Stegostoma tigrinum: one gene and its partners. The protein of the gene in region 1 interacts with the protein of each later gene in a pairwise test. Links are inferred from orthologs where the notes say so. Each region holds a gene or a part of one and is shown in the gene's direction. Other genes may lie near its edges.

Evidence for each region.
Region 2: the proteins of hoxa1a (region 1) and fam221a interact in binary tests that used the Homo sapiens proteins (3 or more experiments, as listed by UniProt). The link is inferred for Stegostoma tigrinum from reciprocal best matches to the Homo sapiens genes HOXA1 and FAM221A.
Region 3: the proteins of hoxa1a (region 1) and spry1 interact in binary tests that used the Homo sapiens proteins (3 or more experiments, as listed by UniProt). The two-hybrid records come from large-scale screens. The link is inferred for Stegostoma tigrinum from reciprocal best matches to the Homo sapiens genes HOXA1 and SPRY1.

Annotation. Positions count from the first base shown.
Region 1 is NC_081355.1:57,632,516-57,639,926, reverse strand, and holds hoxa1a (homeobox protein Hox-A1a), read left to right. Parts: upstream 1-4,097; 5' UTR 4,098-4,149; coding exon 4,150-4,789; intron 4,790-5,235; coding exon 5,236-5,588; 3' UTR 5,589-6,457; downstream 6,458-7,411. UniProt on the Homo sapiens protein: Sequence-specific transcription factor. Regulates multiple developmental processes including brainstem, inner and outer ear, abducens nerve and cardiovascular development and morphogenesis as well as cognition and behavior.
Region 2 is NC_081355.1:76,557,053-76,565,288, forward strand, and holds the start of fam221a (protein FAM221A), read left to right. Parts: upstream 1-4,921; 5' UTR 4,922-4,983; coding exon 4,984-5,048; intron 5,049-5,321; exon of another isoform or gene 5,322-5,346; coding exon of another isoform or gene 5,347-5,378; intron 5,379-8,236.
Region 3 is NC_081354.1:34,544,854-34,552,309, reverse strand, and holds the start of spry1 (protein sprouty homolog 1), read left to right. Parts: upstream 1-4,141; 5' UTR 4,142-4,583; intron 4,584-4,622; exon of another isoform or gene 4,623-5,425; intron 5,426-6,405; exon of another isoform or gene 6,406-7,181; intron 7,182-7,407; exon of another isoform or gene 7,408-7,456. UniProt on the Homo sapiens protein: Inhibits fibroblast growth factor (FGF)-induced retinal lens fiber differentiation, probably by inhibiting FGF-mediated phosphorylation of ERK1/2. Inhibits TGFB-induced epithelial-to-mesenchymal transition in lens epithelial cells.

The DNA of each region.
Region 1 (7,411 bases):
TCTCTGACGAAAATTATCGCATAGAAATCTACCGATATCTACTTTACCCTCTTTTCCTTTTGTATTATTTGAAGGTACATTGTCATAAATAATTTGATAGAGCATATCATTTACACGCTACAGGTAGCCATCCTGAAGCATTTTCTTTCTCAGGACTATTTTCACTTAATAAATAACTTTCATTTTTTCACATAAATGCATTAATAAAATTGAGCAGTCTGGTCAGTGTCGTTATTTACGTTTTCATAACAGTATTTATTGAAGAAGAAGATGAAGAAAAATAAAAAAATCCAGGATCTTTATTTTATGACTCCACAAAAACAACAAGAAAGTTGTGTTTTAAAACTTCCACTAACATTGCCCGTGGTATAGACCAAGGCTCAAGAAAAGTCAATTAATATTGCCTTTATTAAGTTATACAAAAAATGTGGCGCCGGATTTTAATATTAACACTTCAACAGAATAAACGAAACAAAGGCAAAAAGGAATTAATCACATTTCGAAGAAAAATCTTCTTAAGTTCACACCCCATGGATACATCTGTCAGCACTCAGAAAATCTAGGAAAGAAGGGGAAAAGTTTAGGAGTGTTCATTTTCACGTGTGCTTGCTATTAAAGAAACCTCTGTTTATTGATGTCAGAATCTAATCTTTATTGCTGATTCCTCAATTCCTTATCTGTCTTACTGCCAGTCAGTATCAACAACAGAGAATTCCACATGTTTTACTGCAGCAAGTCAGATTAAAACTCGTCCACGTACAAAATAAACTGATCCTAAAGATCGCCAGCCTTACTAAGTAGTTTACTATTTCAGAAATGAAGCGTTTAATAACGAAACCCGGTTTATACAAGTCAACCCTGTTTTCCAAAAAACGGAGAAGCTACTGAGGTCTGAGAGGAAGCCGGTGAGGCGCTTTAAAAAAACATCTATTTCAGCCCAAATGCCTAATCGGTCACAGTCCTCCGTCCTAAAATAAAAGTCTCCAGAAGACAAAATCGTAAATCTTGGGACCATATCTTTTAAAAACATAAAGCATTTTGTGCTTCCTTATTGCAGCTGTATTGTGTAAATGAAATAACAGCTGTAGGAATGCATTCGCATTGTGCGCTAGGCTTTTTAGGCGGCAGTTGTTTTTTGCTTTTATGCCTCTTCTATCATCCTACTCCTCCTACACCCCCTCTGCCGAGGAACGCGTTGCAAGCTTCTTCCAACTGATCAGGAACTTTCACTATTAGTGGCGGTGGACAATGTGTTCGTGTTGCCATTTGTAAAAGCACGTTGGGCTTTTGCGTAAGCAGTGACAGGAACAGCTCTGGAGGTAATTCTTCCCAAACTCATAAATCAAAGCTCTTTTATGAATGAGAATGTCATCAAATGGATCAATCGCAGCAGTACATACAAAAAAAACATCTTACGTATTTGCCTGGACCAGGGAACCCCTGTCAGTTTCTAACTTGTAGGCGTTGAGTCGTGATTCATTTTCACTGTTTTATATAAGGAGCACGGCGTTTTCCACTGCTGTTATTGATACTTCCTTCGAATTTAGTCTCCCTGCGTGAGAATTTATAACGATAGACTGAAGTTCTAATTGTTTAATCATTAAACAGAGAAATAATAGGAAAGATTCTTTTCTAAATTTCATACTGAATTTACTGGCTTTGTGCCCAGGTTTTTATATATATATATATAATTATCGGGCTGCTGTAATCTTGTGAAAAGGGAAGGCGACACTTCCTTATTAAAAACAAACCGCTCGGGCAAATAGTGACACATTGTCGATAACTTGTCGCGATTAAAACAAGTCCTCACACGACATAATGGGCAATTTGCTACAAGAGACGTGTCCTTAAACCGAAAGCACAATGGAAGAGACGCGCCCGGTCCCTCAGTACCAAGGGCTTTCAGGCACGCTGGACGGCGCATGGTGACGGCGATTACCCGAAAATGCTCCAAGCCAGGCCTTGGTTTTACCGGGGTGCGGGGGGATGGGGCGGACATCTCAGGGAAGAATTAGAAAAGCTCCCTCAATAGAAACCTTCTACTGAGAAGAGAAGGGGATGATGGTGGTGAGGCGGAAGGGCGTTTTTTTTATTGTAGAAAACTGAAAAACAGAAAAGGCAATTTTTGTTGTTGTTGAAATCGATTCAATCCAGATTTTTTTTTGAGCTGGCACTTTCCGCTACAGTGAGTGTTCAGACCTAGTAAGTAAAGATGGCGGAGCTGAATGTAAATTTGTTCATTTGTTTTAACTTAGAGAACATACGGACAGTGGGAGGAATGTGCTGATTTATTGTTGAGTTTCGTGTATGGCCAAAAATCAAGTCCGGATATATTTCGGTAAAATTACCGTTGTGAACACAAACAAGAGACGTTTTATCGCACTCAACAACAAAGGTTTCTTTCTCTTCGAGGGCTGCAAGTCAGTTCTGTGTAATTCTTTTTGTTTTGCTTTGGGATTGAAAACTGAAATTTTTCAGAGCATTATTCAATAGATCAGGGAGCAATATTTTATACAGCTGATAGAATTGCCATTGGCCAGAAGTATTTTTTTTACAAATACATTTCTTGAGACTTACTTTTAGGTAATTTATTTTTTGCTAATTTCATGAAGTCAATATAGTAAAGAATTTACATTCAGACCACACATCGCAATTTTCAGCTCCTTTTCCAGTGCACGTGGATCAATACTTAAAATAAATCCCCCTTTTTTTGAGGCATTTACATTAATTAATTACGCGTCAACTTTCCAAAAGCCTAAATAATCTCCCTGTTCCTCGTGTGATCGCCATTCCCCAGTGCTGGTTTACAGTTTTACAGCAGGGTTAGGAACCACCATTTGTCGTAACTAAATAATCCGAGTAAATTACTGTATCTAACCCTGACCAACGTCACTCTGTAATGTGCATTAGATTGATCTGAAATCACCACCGGCCCTGACTGCTCGGATAGGTCTCTACAGGAAGCTGACAGATGGGTGGCAGCGCCTTGCAAGCGACCACGTTTGGTTACATTATGCCTCAGCCAGGGATTGTTATTATTCATATCGGTGTGGAAAGCAACCCGTCTGATTCCCGCTTCAACCAGAATAAATAGGCAGGGAGCCAATATGATCTCGAAGACACTTTGGCTGCCCGTAACCCTATAGTGAGGGGATGCTCCCGCCAGCCTGTGTTCGATTGAAGAGCCTGCTCATTTCCATGCCAATAGCGAGAAACTTGAGGACTGGCAAAGGCCAGGCCTTGATAGGCTGTTGCATGTTTCCTTGTGACATTAATGCACAGTAAAGGCAAGGCGCCTCCTTTTACAACAGCGCACCAGATCACATATAGCTTAAATACAAATCTCTGGGCCATAAAGCTCGTCGTCCAATCAATCATCTTATCCTTTTATTTTCAGGGTAATCTTCACAGTTGCGCTGCAGTGATTGGGGTATAATCAGTTCACAATATGCGCAGGCCTGAACGAAACACAGCTCTGCAGCAACTACCTGGATTTTCTTTCATTAAAGTGCGCGAAATGATCTGACACCCAACAGATCTGCTTTGCATAGCTTCCCCCCGACCTACGTATAACCTATCTCAGCATGAAAAACAAATCACCGCTCTCGCAGACACACAATGCTGCAGTTGAGACACCACAGAGGGACACGGATTTCATCCTTACAGTGGAACACTCTGATGCCATTCCCCTTACCCTTACAGGGTCTGGCTGTTAGGTATTTATCCAGCGACCTACCTGAGACAGAAGCTGCTGCGCTGAGCGGAACGCGCTATTACTCCCCATGGTAGACTCGCGGTAACTCTTAAATGGCGCTGCAGGTCCGGAAAGGAACAGTACGTGCATCTTGAACAAATTCCTGCTGCATTCTGCTGGGCATGCTTTGAAGTATAATGCATTCGCGGGCTAATAATGCGCGTAACCTTGATGGGAGAGCGTTTGGAATTTCAATGCCAGTAAAACGGTGATCGATCAGCAGCAAGAGCATGCAAACTTCTCAGGCAGCCCGGCGATTGGGCGGGTTTGGTCACGTGGCGACACTTGCCTGTATATTGATATCAGTTTCTTTCAGCCCCATTGAGGAAGTGGGCAAGTTGGCACCGTCCATCCAGGCTGGTGGACTTTATATGCTGGTTATACCCCAGTGACAGATGGACAATGCAAGGATGAACACCTTCCTAGACTATTCCATCATTAACGGAGACACTGGGGCCTGCTCTTCCAGAAGTTACCATGCAGATCCAGGAATTGCAACTTACCAGTCCTGTGCCGTTAGTAATAATAACTGCACCGCTGATGAACGCTACATCGTGGCCAGAAGTGTCCAAATAGGTGCTCCACCTCCTCCTCGTCACCATCACCAGCCTAGCTATACACATCACAACAACCTGGGTATCTCTTACAGTGCCCATCCCAACTGTGGGGCAGGATACCCAGCCCAGAGCTTTAGCACAGGCTACAGTCATCATCACTACTCATTGAATGAAGAGGCGGATGGTAACGGAGGGTACTCTCAGTGTGCTCCTGCTGTCTACCCTGGGAACATTGGCTCGGCCATCAGCCCTCATCAGCACGGCTATGGTGGGATGGTGGGGCCAAGTCAATATTGCCATCACCCTTACGGGCAAGAGCAGCAGCAGCAGCCGAGTTTAGCCCTAGCTACAGGCTGTCACCCGTCGTCCCCCGCCCACGGCAGCCATCAAGAACCTTGCTGCTCCCCGTCAGCTGAGACCCCTCCCCCAGCACAAACCTTTGACTGGATGAAGGTGAAGAGGAACCCTCCGAAAACAGGTAAATTCTATTTTCGAGGTGCAATATCTTTCCACAGGTAAATCATTGTCAGGTGAAAGCCGATACTAGCAGATGCGGTGGGGGGGAAAGCGTGTCAGACTCGAGTTGAAAGAAATCTTGATCTGTTGCATGTTGTTTAAGATGATCGAATGGCTGCATCTTTCGTCTACATTGTCTTTTTTTCCCCCATCTATTCTTTCCTTTCCAGTCTTATCAGCATTGTGTGAGGCATATTTTCAACACCACCTAGCTGATGACATGCAACAGTTGTAGTGTAATGCTTTTCGGCTTTTCATGACAAGACATTCCCAAACTACTGAAAAGGGAATGATTGATTATCTATGCAGTCAGCCGAATCTAGCTGTCCCAAGCAATTGTCACAGCCTACCTGTACGATTCCTTGCCTGACTCACCTGTTATGTGCTCCTTTCTATTCACTGATTTAGGGAAGGCTGGGGAGTATGGTTTTGCTGGTCAGCCCAACACAGTGAGAACTAATTTCAGCACTAAGCAACTAACCGAGCTGGAGAAAGAGTTTCATTTCAACAAGTACTTGACCCGGGCCAGACGTGTGGAAATTGCGGCTGCCCTTCATCTCAACGAAACCCAGGTAAAAATCTGGTTCCAGAATCGGCGGATGAAGCAGAAAAAGCGGGAGAAGGAGGGCTTCGCCTCAGCTTCTCCGGCCACTCCAGGGAGTGAAGCAAACACAGAAGACACCTCAGACAAATCGATCTCTACCTCGTCGACACCCTCCCCATCATCATCTACCTCAGAAACGATTCATACTTCAGGCTGAAAGATTCCATAGCAGCCCCCACAACTGGAAACCTTTTCATTTGATAGTTGTTTCAAGTTAGGAGGGAAATATGTAATGAGACATAAATGTCTGGGAAACAACCCCAAATCAACTTATTTTCTTTGGGGAAAATAATCAGCCAATCTCTAAATGCACCAGAGATGCACTATTATAGAAGTGTTTACACTGAGAACCAACTACTGTATAGTATAATTGTCCTATTTTAATTTAATGTGTTGCATATATATTGTAAGCTGCGCTGGTTGTATATATTTTGTCAAGAGTTTTATCTTTTTACAAGTATTTTCTAAAAAAAAGAAAGCCAGTGTCTTATGCGACATAGCTGTAGAGTTTTTATAAGCAAAATGTTATCAACGAATCAAATATACGTGAAATGTTTCTTGTATTTGCAGAAAGCAGAGCTGAGTAGATAGGGGACCTCTCCTTAAACTGTGGACGACTTTATGTACAGAAATTACCATTGCACTGGGCTGTGTAAAATTTGAGCAATGTTAAATGTGTTCCCCTCCCAAAGTACATGGGCTGTCTGAAGACCAGCAGTAGCACCTTGTTAAAATACCTCAAAATGATCATGTTTACTCCGATATTTGTTGGACTTAATTTCGTAAGCTACCTGTCAATGTAAGTTACGGCCAAATGATTGTTTTCCTTGTGATTTGTGTACGGAATTTTGCATGATACAACGCTGTCAGTGTGTGCTTAACCCATCACTGAGTTTTATCAGTTCTTCTGTGTGACTAGATGTATTATACAATCAGCACGTGATTTGAATCAGTTCTGAGATTTTCTGTGACTGAAATCCAGGACAGAATTTACGGGTCCAAATAATAAATTATATTAAAATGCTGCGTTTCTCTATCATGTTACAGTTGCATTTAAGTTATCTTAAGCATGTTACAGTTTCTTGACCCTCGGCATGAACTTGCACCCCCATCAACAATGTTCAAAATCGTCCTTCAGATCCCGGACACTGCTAAACATCACGTTTAGTTATTTCATTTATTAATTGGCGTTTTATTTAATTTCGGTTATTGATAGGTAACAGTTCATGAAGTCAAATAGGACAAGTTATTTTATTCACAGGAAATACCTGCGGGTCTTTAAAGTGGCTTTTGCAATGTTAAAAGCTTCTTAGAGTGCATCTAAACACTGACCTTTTCACCTTGAATGGCTTATTTACATATATGTAAACAGGCCATTCTCCAATGACAGTGGTTGTCATCAACTTGACTTGCTTCAAAATGCAACAAAGAATTCACCGCATTCACAGTCACACTCTAGCAAACGAAGTATAAGAAATGGAAAACACAAGTTTATCGACGCAAGGTTCCAAATTAAACTATTCTCGAGTTGTTTTGATTGAACAGATTGCTGAAGCCGCGTGACTAGAATGTCGCTAGCATTTGCTTGAGAAACATGATTAGATGCAGTTTGGTGTCAATAAGCAAAAGTCGATGGTGTTGTAGGGCATGTCGGCCATATCAAGGGTGATGTCTGCTGTAGAGTTGTCTTCCCCTGGAAGATTACATTCGACGCAAAAGAGCTTCAAAGAAACCTCCAACTTTTTGTCTTACGTGCTACTCAGCGGTTCCAGCATCACTTTCCGTTTACTAAAGGAAACAGATTGAACAAAATCAAAATTTGTCAAGAATTAAACAATATCCCTCCGATTTGTTATAACTATTGGAGTGGATATTTAGTTTGCTATCAATTCATTCAATTGTACATTAAGAATACCTCGAGAAGGCGAGAGTTAAAACAGTTTCAGACAATAGGTAGAAAAAGACTCGCATTAATGTAGC
Region 2 (8,236 bases), about 19 Mb from region 1:
TGTTTACCTAAGTAATTTGTCACAGCGAAGTGTACGCCGACACCACTAACTTTTGGCAATGTCGCAACCGGAAATGAGGGGCAAGTAAGTGCAAGTGGGGAAGAATGATCAAAGATGACGGACAAGGCATTAAGACAGTTTCCCACAAAAGATTCCTGTGGGGAATCAGAGATCGGCATGTTCTATTTTGCCAAAATCAAACAGCTCACTGACTCCTCATGCGTGTATGTTCTAAAACCACTGGGAGGCCCAGTCCTCTATTCCAGGGAGCCAGACTTCAGTAATAGCTCAGTTGACTGAAGCACCACTATCTCACTGGGCCATCACTATCGACCCCAACTGGGTCAGGAAACCCCGCGAACACGTAAAGACCCGGGCAGTGGTTGTCCTCTGCCGCCCCTAACCCGTTGTGACACCATTCCAGTAGGCCCACCCTCACTCACCCGCTGGCCTCCGAGTTCTCACATCCATCCCAGCAGCCCCTATTCTCGCGTACTGCGCATGTACGGCCTGACTGGCTGTTTCAACCTCAGGGCGGGGCAGGAATTTGTAGAAACGGAATTATTCCAATAAAGGAAGGAGCCATTTCGCCGGTACCAGCTCTATGAATGAGTGCTATTCTCCTGTCTTTCCCCCATAACCTTATATGTTGTTTCCATTTAAATATATCAGTTGATTCTGCCCCCATCACCGTTCCAGGCAATGCATTCTAGACGTAAAACCATTTGTTTGGAAAAAAATACTTTTTCTCACATCACATATGTTACATTTGCAAATCACTTTAAATCAATGCCCACTCATTCCAGGAATGGGGACTGTTTCTCCCCATCTACTCTCTTCAGACTCTTCATGATTCTGAAAACATAAATTCTCTGGGCCTAGGTGACGGTGAGCATGAGGGGGCACAGCTTTAAATTGAGGGGTGAAAGATATGGGACAGATGTCAGAGGTAGTTTCTTTACTCAGAGTAGTAAGGGAATGGAACGCTTTGCCTGCAACGGTAGTAGATTCGCCAACTTTAGGTACATTTAAGTCGTCATTGGAAAAGCATATGGACGTACATGGAATAGTGTAGGTTAGATGGGCTTAAGATCGGTATGACAGGTCGGCACAACATCGAGGGCCGAAGGGCCTGTACTGTGCTGTCATGTTCTATGTTCTATGTTCTCTCCAAAGAGAACAATCCAAATCTCCACTTTCTCATCTCTGGAACTTTTTTTTTGTAAATCTTTTGTATGCTCTCTCCAACACATTCACATTCCTAAAAACACCCAGAATTGCACACAATACTCTGGCTGAGGTTGAACCAGTGTTTTGTATAAATTCAGTATAATGTCCCTGTTCTTGTACTCTATGCTCTGATTATTAAAGTTCAGGATACTGTATGCTTATTAATGACTCCACCTGTCTAGGAACCTTTACTGATCTATATATACACACACACACACCAAAGACCTCTACTTTGAACTCCCTTAAATATTGTGCTCCTTATTTTATATTGTCTGTCCATGTTCTTCCTACCAAAATACATCACTTTGCACTCTTCACATTGACCTTCATATGCCACCTATCTGACCACTCCATCAACTTGTCTATATCCTTTTGACCTCTGCTTTTTTAAACAGAAAATAAGCTGAGAGTAAAGCACCCTCAATACTGCTCTAATGAAACAATCCCAGGACATGTACAGCATTGGTTAGATACAGAGTATACACAGTAAGCTTATTCTAGCTGTCCCCATCAAACACTCTCAGGACAGGTACAGCATGGGGTTAGATACAGAGTGAAACTCCCTGTGCTGTTAAATTGAAAGTAAAGCTCTCTTGACATTGTCTTCATCAAAAAACACTCCCAGGGTAGGAACAGCATGGGGTCAGATACAGAGTAGAACACCCACTGCACTATCCCCATCAAACTCTCCCAGGACAGGAGCAGCATTAGTTTAGATACAGAGTATAGCCCTCCCTATTCTTTTGAAACATAAAGTAAACTGAAAGGCAAACTCATTCACCACTGCCCCTATCAAACAAACTCAGGACAGATACACTACAGCATCACATAGAGATTAAGACCCCTTATACTCTTTTAACCTGAAATTAAAAATGCCCTTACTCCTTTAAACTGAAAGCTCCCTTGAACTGCTGGGACAAGGACAACATGGGGTTAGATACACAGCAAAGCTTCCACTACTGTTTTGAACTAAAAGTAAACAGAAAATAAATGTCTGTCACCACTGTTCCCACCAATTCCTCCAGGGACGGGAACAGCACTGGGTTGAATACAGAGTAAAGTTTCCTGTATTCTTTTAAACTGAAAGTAATCTGGAAGTAAAGCAGCCCAAAACTATCCCTATTAAACTCTATTAATCCCTATTAACCTCTCTGATGAAGGATCTAGGCCCGAAACGTCAGCTTTTGTGCTCCTGAGATGCTGCTTGGCCTGCTGTGTTCATCCAGCCTCACATTTTATTATCCTATTAAACTCTACCAGGGTGGTTACAATATGGAATAAAAATACAGAGTAAAGCACTGTCTATTCTTTTAAAACGGAAAGTAAAGCTTTCTGTGCTCTTCCAGGGTAAAAAAACAGTTTCCTCTACATAGTCCCCATCCCCTGTCCAAGGATAGATACAGCACTGGTTAGATACAGAGTAAAGCTCTCAAAACATTCTGACACCTTTGAGCCAGAGCTGAACCAACTGAGGATGACTGTTTTGAGACAAATACAATCCTGCGCTCCACCAGCTGAGCTATTGAAGGACAGCCCTTTAGGACCTCCACACTGTCCTCCTCAGTGTATACAATACTTCCAAGTTTCCATCCATTGAAATTATCTCCTGTATACAAATATATGGATCATTATTGTATATCAAGAAAAGTCAAAGTCCTTGAATTGATGGTCCATGTGGAACTCTACTACAAACCTTCCTCCAGCCAGAAAAATTTCCATTGACCACTACTCTCCGTTTCCCATCACTCAGTCAATCTTGTGACCACATTGCTATTGTCTATTTTATTCCATGAACTATAACTATCATCACAAGGTTGTGTGGCGCAGTATTGATTGCCTTTTGAAAATCTACATTTTTTTTGTTTATTCATTTTGCCCGATGTGGGCATTGCTGGCTGGCCAGCATTTATTGCCTGTCCCTTGTTGCATTATTGAACCTCTGTAATCCACCTGCTGTGGATTGACCCACAATGCCATTAGGTAGGGAATTCCAAGATTTTGACCCAGCTACAGTGAAAGAATGGCAATATATCTCCAAGTCAGAATGGTGAGTGACTTGGAGGGGAACTTGAAAGTGGTAGTGTTCCCATATATCTGCTGTCCTTGTCCTTCTAAGTAGAAGTGTTCATGGGTTTGGATGGTGCTGTCTGAGGATCTTTGATGAACTTTTGCAGTGCATCTTGCAGATATACACACTGCTGCTCCTGAGCATCGATGGCGGAGGGAGCGGATGCTTGTGAATGCAGTGCCAATCAGGTGGGCTGCTTTGTCCTGGTTGGTGACAAGCTTCTTGAATGTTGGGGTTTCACTCATCCAGGCAAGTGGGGGGTATTCCATCACACTTGTGACTTGTGTCTTGTAGATGGTGGACACAAATACATCATATGAACATCATTACCACATTGACCATTTCCGTTGCCATTTCAAGACACCCCAGCAAGTTATTTGAAAACAATTTCCTTTAGAAATCTATGCTGGCTCTTCATAAACAAACCACATTACCACATCTGATTACTATCCCAAATAGTTTTTAGCAGCCTTCAAACCACAGAAGTTAAACTGACAATTTGCTAATTGTTTAGCTTCTGTCCAGTTCATCTAATCCTGATGACTTGTCAAATTTAAGTACCCATGGCCTCTCCAATGCCTCCTCCTTATCAATTTTGATACAACATTGGGGGCAGGAGTGATATGATGTAAATGATTTTGAATGTGAAGAAGTTAGTGAGTTACATTAATCTGAATAAAATTAGTTCTTTAAACAAAACAAGGCTTCAGACAGTGCAAGAACACTTGGCCCGCGAAGAGAGAGGGAGAGCAAAAAAAGTATTGGGGAGGGAGAGGACCGCAGTGGGGTTTGGGAGAGAATGGTTGGACAGAAGACGGTGTACAAGCGGTATTAGTACTCCCTGTCCTGCCGTTTGCAACAGTGAGAACAGTATGGCTGTAACAGAAAACGCTGGAAAACCTCAGCAGATCTGGCATCTTGTATAGAGAAACACCTAACGTTTGGAGTCTAGCACGAGTTATGAACCACTGCCCAGATTTTCAGCACCCGCATATTTTTCCTTTTTGATAGCATAGTTCTCTAGTATACCTAAGAAAATTGCCTCGCTCCAATTGTACGATTCATATTGTATATTGACACAACTCGTCGAGCTATAGTGTACGCATCGTGCATTGAAGGTAACAGGGTGTGGAGCTGGACGAAGGGTCTCGGCCCGAAACGTCAGCTTTCCTGCTCCCCTGATGCTGCGTGGCCTGCTGTGTTCATCCAGCTCTACACCTTGTTATCTCAGATTCTCCAGCATCTGCAGTTCCTACTATCTCGTGCATTGAAGGGGCGCCTACAAGATGTATAATACTTACTTGCGTTTACCATGCACTGTATTTACTACTTAGTGTATATTAGATTAACTACACTGTGTAAATTGTATTAAATTTACTCCACATTCTGCACAGTACATTTACTATGAACTTTGTGAATACTACGAATATATTGCATTCGGGTCAGTGTTGTATTCACTGCGTTTGTTGTAAATTGTGCGTATTGCTTATGTCACATACTGTGAATATTTATACATTGTATTAAATTTCGTGCTCCGTGTAGCACTTAGTATATTAATCGTATACTCAGTTCACGATGTACTCTGTAATAGTATCTTCAGTGCATTGTCTGTGTTCACCGTGTGTACCCTCTTCACCCTCGTGTCCTTCTGGTTGCTGGGTGATCCGTTGCTCAGCAACAGGCGGATGGAGCGGATCAGTTTGAACGAGGAGGCGGCGGCCGCTGTCGATTCTTATGTCGAATATCGGAGGTTAGAAACCGCTTGGCACGGCTCCATCCGCTTATATGTGTGTGTGGACCGGACCCCGAGTTGTGTCCAGTCCTGGCCTGAGCAAAGACGGAGAGAGCGGCCCACACTCACCACGCCCAGAGCCCAGCTCCGCGCCGTGACACGGGGGTGAAATCACTGGGAGGACGCTGCTGTTTACACGGGTTCATCCTGTGGAGCCAAGGTCCAGCCACCCGTGAAGCAAACATGTTCCGGAGGTCTTGCTGTATCTGCCCAGAATCTGTCTGTTTGGGACTGCAGTCTGCCTTTGCATAAGAGAATGTCCGGTATTGAGGTTTCTCTGAGATTGAGGTCTGCCTGGAATTAAACTCTGTCTGGGATTGGAGTTTGCCTGGTAGTAGGCTCTGTCTGGGATTAAGGTCTGTTTGGGAATGGCGTGTCTCTGAATTGGGGTCTCTCTGGGATTGGGTTCAGGGTCTGTTTGGGATTAAGGTCTGTTTGGGAATGGGGTGTCTCTGGATTGGGGTCTCTCTGGGATCAGGATTAGGGTCTGCCTGGGACTGGGTGTCTCTGGGTTGGAGTGTCTGTCTGGGATTAGGATGTCTTCAGGATTGGTGTCTGCCAGGGATTAACGTCTATCTGGGATTGGATTGTCTATAGGATTGGGATCTGCCTGGAAATTGGATATGTCTAAGATTGGGGTCTGTCTGGCATTAAGGTGTGCCTGGAATTGGGATATGTTTGGGACCATGATTTGGCTAAGATCAGAGTGCCTCTGCGATTGATGTATGTGTTGGATTAAAGTTTATCTGGGAACTTGTCCCATCTGGTATTTACATTTGTTTGGTACTTTGATTTTACTGGAATTGGGATCTGGCCAGGGGTTGGGATCTGACTAGAAATAGTTTTATCTGGGGTCAGGGTCTGTCTAGTACTTGGATTTGTATGAAACTGGAGTCTGGCAAGGATTGGGATTTGTCTGGGACTTGAGTCTTTTAGAGACTGAGGTCTGTCTGGTGCAATAGTCCCATTGGCCTGGTTTGAATCTTAGTTAGCATCATTCTGTGGCTATTGGCACAAGGTTGCATTTCAGTCCACAGCATTATACCATCAGGATAAAATGAAAAGTTAGTTCTGATGAGACAGCAGGCAGTGGCATTATATTCCCCAGACAGAGGAAGCTAAGAGTAGATTTCATAAAACATATTCAAATTAAGAAGATTTTGTGCACGAGTAAGGATAAATCCATTGTTTTGGCAGTAATTAATGAGGTGTTGTTAATTTTACATAATCTCTGAGAATGGTGGAAGGGTGACAACAAATTTTCTTATCTGGCTTGTAATACAGAATACTATGCCACAAAGGATGAATAAGCAATCAAAGTTGCACCTTTTATGGCAGAGGGCAAAAACTTAAAGAATGAAAGAACAGGGAAATCAGTTCCATCTGCATGAAAGCTTTAACGCTTGAAGATCTTTCTTATGAAATTATGTATTTAAATACATTGTTGTCGAGAGCCCAGAAAACACCAACTCCGGTTATCAGCTTATACAGAGAGTAGTCAATTCTGGTAACCTCACAAATTACTTTATTCGTGTATTTAAACAAGGCACATGTTTCTTAAATGTTTTATCTCAAAACTGGATCTTATATATTTTCCCACAAACTGAACTAGGACCTACTTATACACCCACTGGAGTCCTCTGACACTCTCTAAGTAGTCTCAGGATATAAACGCCAATATCCTATCGAGGGCTGAGGCTGGCCAGGTGCTGCACTTGATGTCATCACCACATCCTTGATGTAGGATCTGCTTCTGCTATGGTTTGCCTCTGGAGTTTTTGCTGGCTGTGTGCCCCAAGGTTTTTTCTCTTATCTCTGTCAAGTCATGCTGTCTTCTTTCCATTGGCTCAGGCTAATTCACTTATCACATGTCTCTACCTTATTGGCACTGGCCCAGAGATATAGGTGGCATTATCTCAACATTTCTCATCCAAACAAGGCTTTTGCATTATCTCATCTTTCTTACTTTTTGCAGAACTTAGTTAATTCAAATCAGTTTAAATTGGCTCAAACTAGCACCTGGGTGCAGTCCATTTTTAGTTCACAAGCTGCTTCTTTCTTCATGCCAGCACCTTTGCATTCAGTACCTCTTTTTAGCGATGTTGGCAGCTGGTACCCTTCTCACTCTTTATCTTTCTGCAACTTCTGGCTAACATTTCCCCAGGCAGCGATGCTGGCAGTTTATACTGTTCTCTCTCTTTTTCTAGCCCTCTGCAGCCTCTGGCCAACATCTCCCCTTTCTTGATCCAAAGCTACTTATCTTGGGATCATTCTTTGTCCCTTTTCTGTGGAGCATAACTCGGACTATCAGTATTCCCCAACAGATGTACCACATCCACAGTGTTCTAATCTTCATACAGTTTCATTTTTTCACCTTATAAGGTGGACATACATTGACTATGACGATTACTAATGTACATAGAATTGCTACTACAGCAGCATTCAACAGAATTCTAACTCATGGATGTATTTGAACACTGGTTCCCAATTCCAGAATCTATCCCACAACCTAGGGTCCTGCAACTACTTTCCTTTTTCAGCATCAGTTCTAATTATTTTAGTGCGTTAGGTCCATTGATGAATTATTTCTTTTGCCTCACCCACTATAATTGTCCAATCGGCTGTCAGGTGCGGGATGGGTTGTAGTTCAGTCAGAACAATCAATGTGATCTTGACAAGCTTCAAAATCTCCCCTCCCCCAATCGCATCCCAAAACCAGCCCAGCTCGTCCCCGCCTCCCTAACCTGTCCTTCCTCCCATGTCTCCACTCCTCCCATGTCAAGCCTTACCCCCATGTCCTACCTACCAACCTCATCCCACCTCCTTGACCTGTCCGTCCTCCCTGAACTGACCTATCCCCTCCCTAACTCCTCACCTAACCTCACCTTTACTGGCTCCAACCCCACCTCTTTGACCTGTCTGTCTCCTCTCCACCTATCTTCTCCTCTATCCATCTTCTATCCGCCTCCCCCTTTCTCCCTATTTTAATTCAGAATCCCCTCCCCCTCCCCCATTTCTGAAGAAGGGTCTTGACCCGAAATGTTAGCTTTCCTGCTCCTCTGATGCTGCTTGGCCTGCTGTGTTCATCCAGCTCTACACCTTGTTACATTGGATTCTCCAGCATCGGCAGTTCCGACTACCTCTCC
Region 3 (7,456 bases), on another chromosome or scaffold:
CAACTTGCTGTGCACCATCCGGTGTCATACCCTCTCCACACTCTTGCAGAAGTTCCCCAGAAGTAACTGCTGTGCATTTATTTTTGCTTGGGGCTGTTGTGAAATGCTCCCCGCGTAGTTAGCAATGGATGAAACACTAAAAACGTTGCGTGGCGTTAAAAACGCAGAAGACTGGGTGTAATGCCCATTCAATGTGGCAAAATACAGTATATGACACTCTAGGGTCCCTCACTGAAATTAACCCATATATTTAGATTACACTTTTGGATTTAACAGCTTCCCTCATTGTTCTCCTGCATAATTGCATCCCATCCCCAAGACCTCCCTTTCTGACCAGGGACGTTGGGAAAGTGGCAAACTGCATTGCTGGTTCAGGATATCTCCTTGCGTGAAATGTTCAGTAAGTTTTGGGCAGTACAACTTTTTTTTCACCTGATCCAAGGTCTTCCAGCAGCAGTTGGTGTATGCCTCAGTGTTTATCCCTTGACTCAAGGTCCTAAATAACAGAAGCTCCGTCTTACAGTGTTATTTGGGATTACCTTACCAACAAAACACTACATCTTTTTCTCAGAGATAGTAAGAACTGCCGATGCTGGAGTCAGAGATAGAACAGCGTGGAGTTGGAGGGGCACAGCAGGCCAAGCAGCATCAGAAGAACAGGAAAGTTGACGTTTCTGGTCAGAAGGAGGGTCCCGACGCCAAACCTCAAATTTTCGGCTCCTCTGATACTGCCTGGCCTGCATCTCTTACTCACTAGACTTTGCAAATATAAATGCCAGAAGGGTACTATCAGGACAGCATGGGGTGACTCCGTAATACCGTTTAGGCAGGAAAGATCTGACGGGGAGGACACCCTCAGCCAAGGTATCACTTTGTAGGTGGGGGGGGGGGGTGCATTAGCTCGGTTGGCTGAACGGTTGCTGTGTGATGGCAACAGAGTGGGTTCAATTCCAGCGCCGGGTGAGGTTACTATGAAGGACTCTCCTTCTCAATCCCTCCTCTCGCCTGAGGCATGGTAACCCTCAGGTTAAACCATCAGCATTTGCACCTCTGGAATGAGAGAGCAGCACTATACTCCAGCAAATTTGCCTTTTATCACGTGGTGCTCGTTTGGTAGACCTGGCAATGGAGTGGTGGTTCTGCCCAATGACTATCAGTCTCTTCAGAAGCCATTCAGCAGGACCCTATTGACTTGTTTTCTTTACCTGCACTGACTTCTTTTTTGACTGATAAGGGGTATGACACAGTCCAGCTGAGAAACATGTTGGTGACAATATAGCCAGAGCAATGTTTCATTTTCCTTGCCTTTGGGTAAATTTAGAAACATAAACCATGGATAGTGCATTTTAAAACCTGTATAGACACCACGGGTTGGAGTGTCGTCCTCTTTTTCTCACCAAATGGTGTGAAGCCCGTGTAATGTGTAGTTTGAAATCAGACTGCAACCAGACTCCAAGAGGAATGGTATCTACCTTTATGTTACCGCAGAGATGCAGTTCCCAGAAACGTTAACCACCTCAATTCGCTACAAAAAAGTGTTCCGGAAGCCATGGTGTTATCGAGGAACTGTTTAGTCCGGGAGGGCTCTCAGTGCCATCAGATTTCAGAACCTGATGCCAACCTTAAAACAAAGGCAAAAAAAAACTGGGAATGCTGGATATCTGAAAGTAAAATAAAAAATCAATGTACTAGAGAAACTTAGCAGCTACGGCTGCATCCGTTTGGAGAGAAATAAGAGTTCACGGTTCGGAGTCAATATCAATCTTCAGCAAACTGCATTTCTGAAGAAGTCATGCTGGCTAAGACAATAAGTCACAGGAGCAGAAATTAGGCCATTCAGCCCATCATGGATGATCAGCTTCGCCACCCCATTTTCCCGCTTTCTCCCCGTAGCCCTTGATTCCCTTCACAGTCAAGAACTTATCCATCTCTGTATTAAATACACTCATTGACTTGGCCTCCACAGCCTTCTGTAGCAGTGAGTTCTGTAGATTCAGCACTCTCTGGCTGGAGAAGTTTCTCTTTATCTCCGTTCTAAAGGGTCTTCCCTTTACTCTAACGCTTATAAAGGATTATAAAAAAGTGAAGGGCATGGAAAGGGTGATTAGTGAAGGTCTTTTCCTCAGGTCAGGGGTGTCCAAAAGTAGACATAAGTTTAAGATGTGAGGCGAAAGATTTAAAATGTACTTAAGGGGCAATATTTTCACACAGAGGGTGGTGCATGTATGGAATGAGTTGCCAGAGGATGTGGTGGAGGCTGGTACAATTACAATAGTTAGAAGGCATCTGGATGGGTACATGAATAGCAAAGGTTTAGAGGAATATGTGTCAAATGCTGGCAAATGGGTCTAGATTAGTTTAGCATATCTGGTCGGCATGGAGGAGTTGCTCCGAAGCATCTGTTCCTGCTGTACATTTCTATGACTGGAAATTGTAACTTGTGTTTCTCTGTTCATAGATCTAGGTCCAGCGGCGTTTACTACTTGGAACCGAACGCCGTTTTTTCAGCATTAGTTGAGGCTTACCACGGGGATTGTAGTTTGTAATTACCGATGCAGCGCACTGGTCTTCTTCCCGCGTGTCCTTAGCCACTGACTTCCGCAACGTTGCTGCAAAAAAAATGCCAGTGTAGGTCATCATCAGTATTTGGGTGAAATCGACTCCATTCAAGGAAATTGTCAAACTTGATCCATTGCCGTGTTTCAGATTCAGTTATAAATGCACCGTCCATGTGCGGAAACTGCACATCAAAACGGATTCATTTTTGTTCGAGCGTGAATGCAAGGGAAGAGAGGTACGGCAGAGGTTCTCTACAATTTGTGACTGTCTTTCTACTTGAAATGTGCCAACCCCCCCTAAAAAAACACAATGAGGGAAGTAAAAAAAACACTCCCTATTCAAATGATTCTTAACTTCTGCTGGGAAGGTGTTTGCATTTCGACTGTACATTGTGAAATACTTTCACTGTTTAGTATGTATCAATAACTGAGCTAAATGGTGCCATGTTGAAAATTGTTTTAAATTCCCGTCTAAACGTTGCTAAAAAAAAGTTTCAAAGTAAAACGGCTTTCCGGAATTAAGAGGAAAAAATGCGCATTGAATGACGTGCTATAATTTACCCAAGAACGTTCTGATATTGGTTGTTAAAGTTTTTGTAAATTGTTACCATAACACAGTGTGACTTGCAGCAGACCCGATGTGTAATACAGCAGACTGGGTTGACTGGTTCTGCCGAAACTCTGACTGACACATTTACCATATGAAAAGATAAACAGCGTCCATCAATGTCAGAAAACCAAAACCACAGACTCATTCGTACCGTAAACCTTGGATGCTATCTGTCGAGCTCATTCGAGCGAGAAACATTTCTTGATCCGCCCTCCTTGTCTGCCCTTCCCAGGCGTTGGGAGCAGGCTGCCTCATTGATAGCCGCGAGCACGGTGAGGACTCGGAAATAAATGTAAAAACAAGCTTTCGCTCATTGTGAAAAGCAGCAGCAGTTACAGGTAATGGCACATCAGCCATGCTGACAGCTACACCGGCCTTGCAATTGGCATAAGTACGCAGCTCGAGACCTCCCCACATACACTATTAAAATCGCAAAGCAGAGCTCTCATGCTTTTGAAGAGCGGAGCATAGCACAGAGACTAAACAATTGGTCGCAGATTGGATATCGCGCCTCAGTTATTTGCTGTTTATTTGCCTGATTTCGCCCATAGAACCAATGTTCGGGCCGTTCACTGGCGGTTTTGTTTGTTGACTGGTTATTTCGGGGTAATGGGGATGTGTAAATATTCGCCCGGAAAGTGTCTCCTACTGGTGGCAAGGGCAACTAACTAAGCATTGAGACCCCACGCGCACCCACCGGTCGCACACCTATCTCCATGGAGGAGATCATTTTCCCAGCACGGGGAACAGTAATCATAAAATAGGTTTGTGGTGGGTGACAATCTATTTTCTACAGTTGAAATGTCCTTTTAAAATGCACTGCACTGGATATGTTCCGAATTCAGCGCGCTGCTGACCCAGTGGCTGCCAAGGAGTTTACTCCTTGGAGGCGGGGTGGGGGGTTGGGTTGGTGTGCGGGGAGGTACTAAAAAACGCAGCTACCAGATACTCTCACCATTGAAGTGTAGGGAGTCTGTGGACCTAGATGAACCAGCTTGATTTACTCCTTGTGTGCCTTTGTCTCTCTACACCATGGACGGTGGGAAGACAAGCCTTGTGTTTTAACAAGGTGGACATATCAATGAGTCGATTGAAAAAAAGTAGTTAAACCTGGATAGGGGATGCAATATTGATGCCTCTCGTCAGACTGGTTTCAGAGAGGCAATATTCATTTTTAAAACATGAATTAGGCAGAGATTATAGCTACTTGTCAGCTTTGGCATGTCCATTATGTAAGGAGGGAGGGGTTTGTGTCAGTTCTGACATGGATCATTTTGGTTAAGTCAGACTGTATGAAATCGACCCTTGATCTCTTGTTGTTGTTTCTGGGACTGGATTTGTGTTTTTGCCGGGCAGGGGTTTGTTGTTGAATGGGACATGTGGTCTACACCTTGATGTTCGATCACACCAACAGGGTAGGTGTCTCTTTAAATTCCCTTTGCAGTTTCTGTAGAACTTGGCGTTGCCGTTTTAAGAGCACTTTGAAGTCTCCATTTGGTCAGTTCCTTGGCCTCCGGGTCTGACATCTCGGCTAATGAAATTCCCTGATAACTGGTCTGGAAGGGTTGATGGACTAACAGATAAATCCCTTAATTTCTTTAAACGGGTCTTCAGCCGTTCCGGTGTGAAAGGCGGTTTAATGATCAGTCAGACTTCAGATGAAAGGGAAGCCAGAGGGTTAATGAATGAGCGATTTCCTGCGCAAATGAAACCAGCCAAAGAGCCACAGGTCGCCCCAAAGGAACATTCAAAGAGACAGGACAGCAACAAAGGAAACGCCTGTACTTCGTAATGCATATACTGTACTCAGGATGAACGGAAGAGGTTCATGTGTTCTGCCAGATTATTAAATGTATCATTAAAATACGCGGGCGAACACACGCACTGCATCTCTCTATATAAACAAACAGGCTGTCCCACTTTGCAGCTCAAATTCGCTTAACGATTACAACCAGGAATCATTTAATATTCCTCATAAATTATTCCTGAAGACATTTAGTGTAGGTTCCCCGCCCCATTCAGAAAGTTCCGTGGATTGGCATTAACATTCTCAGCATGAATACGGTGGCAGGAGACAGTTGTTTTGGTGCATTCAAATGACTGGAGCTACAACAAAGAGGCGTTTAGGAAGTCGGGATTTCCCCCCAGTGTGATCTGAACACAAAAGCATTATCTAAGGGTAGGAGCTGCTGGAAATGTTCAGCTCCTTAGTACCTGGACTTTCAATATTCCGATGCACGGTTTCTATTTTTTGTTGGTAAGTAAAAAAGCCCAAACATAGTTAAAAAAAACTAAAATACTTGTATGTGTTCAGTAATGGCCTTTGAAAGCGAGATTTCGTCGTTGCGGGTCTCTTTTTTGATGAATGTTTCCTCTGCCTCTTTTGAAAACCACATTCGTTTTTCTCATCTGAAAGCTTTCTCTGTATAATGGGAACCAGCAGGATGCGATAGAGGGAGAATTGCACTGAATTCCGGTCTGCGGTTTATTTTACAAATGAATAATAAAGCCGCCGAGGGCCCAAGGCAGCGTGAGGGGCTCAGATGATTTTTCTCCAATGGCTCGTTTAGCAATGAGGAACATTTTATTTTGCTCGTAGAACACGGATAGGGGTCTGCGTGTGTGTTTGTGTGTGCGAGAGTATGTTTTGTGTGCTTCGACAGCCAAGATACAAAATGTGTATTTTCTTAAATCTCGCTGAGTAAGAATATGGTGAGAACTGCAGCAGAATTGATACACGACTCTAACAGGAAATAATGTTTACGTTTAATGTTTCAATACAGTTTCTTCAATGCTTAACGTTACTATGAAACAGAACGTAACTAATTTAGTCTGGCATATGCATTATATGATTCGTGGTAAATTGCAGGGGAGGTTGTACGGGGAAATCTAAGTGAAATGAATTACAAGCACCCAACGCGACAGCGATTGTCTCTGGTCGGATGCGCCGCTTCCTCCGATCCAATTAGCGGGACACTACCCACCTATCTGCTCTCAGCGGCAACCAGAGTCCCCAGGCCCGACCAATCCGCTTCCTGGGAACAAAGGAAAGGGGCGGGGAAGAAGGCGGGATCCTCACACCTTTATCCAATCAGAACCCACTAACCGGGGCCGGCTTCGGCCCAGCCAATCAATGCTGACCGGATGCGCCGTATCCTCTTCGTTTCACCCCCCCCATACCCCCGGACACGGGGACCAATCGGCGGCGTTGGAATGCGCCCTTGCGGCTAATGAGCCGCAGTGGAATGCGAGCTGGCGACCAATGATGGTGTGTGTTTGTGCGGGGCTAGCGGTGGAGGGGACGGGACGAGCGGTCGCCAGTGCCACTGAGGACAATTGGAAAGCGGACGGCGCCGCTACGGCTGTTATAAAGAGGAATTGTGCCGAGATTTAGCTTACCACAATAACAGTGCATAGGAGCAAAGCTTCACTGATAGTCATTCACACACACATATACATAGGCAGCAGAGTTTTGGCACAAGGTTGGGAGCTCAAACTCTTTCAACACCTACAGCAATCAGGACCAGGGCAAACCGATGCACCCAGAGACCGTGCGTTACAGGTGACACCTTCCGTGTGTGGCAACCAAGGTGCAGAAATAAAAGTCTTTGCGGAGAGCTTGACTGGTGGCCAAACAAGGAGACGGCCTTGGCGACAAACCCCCACCGACAGCGTGCTGCGGGAAGCGCCGCTGAGGAAATCACCCGAAGGACGCTGCAGCGAACGGGGCCAGAGCGCGGAGTGGAGTGCGCCGCGAGTGGTTGGCAGCACCGCCACCCATCCCCGCCCCCCGCCCCCGCGGCACGTCTGCATCTCGGGGTCAGTGCAGCGTGGGCTCCTGCTCCTTTTAGCTTCACAAGTTGCCCTCCCGTTCAGTCTTGTTTTCGGTTCGACGACGCGTCTTCTAAATATACATTTGGCTGATATAAGGCTCGAATCTGGATTTACCTTGGAAAAGACTTGGCTAAGGCAGTAATAAAATGGATTTGTATTTGGTGGATATATGGAAATAGGTAAGATCCCTCTATTTTATAGTTTATCTAAGTCTTATCTAACTGGATTACTTTTACAAAGGCCTATGTTTTTTTCATATGATTGTAATCCCTACATGCAAAAATGAATGTTTACTTTTTGTTGCCGGAGATTATAATCTTCAGGTTGAATCCGCTTCCACTTGTGAAAATGGTCAAAATAGTTGAATGATCCCAGTGTTTTTACTGGAAAGTCTGCCCCCGTGTGGTTTTCTCCATTCCTTTCCAGCGCCAGCCTGTTGCTGCTGCTCGATTCA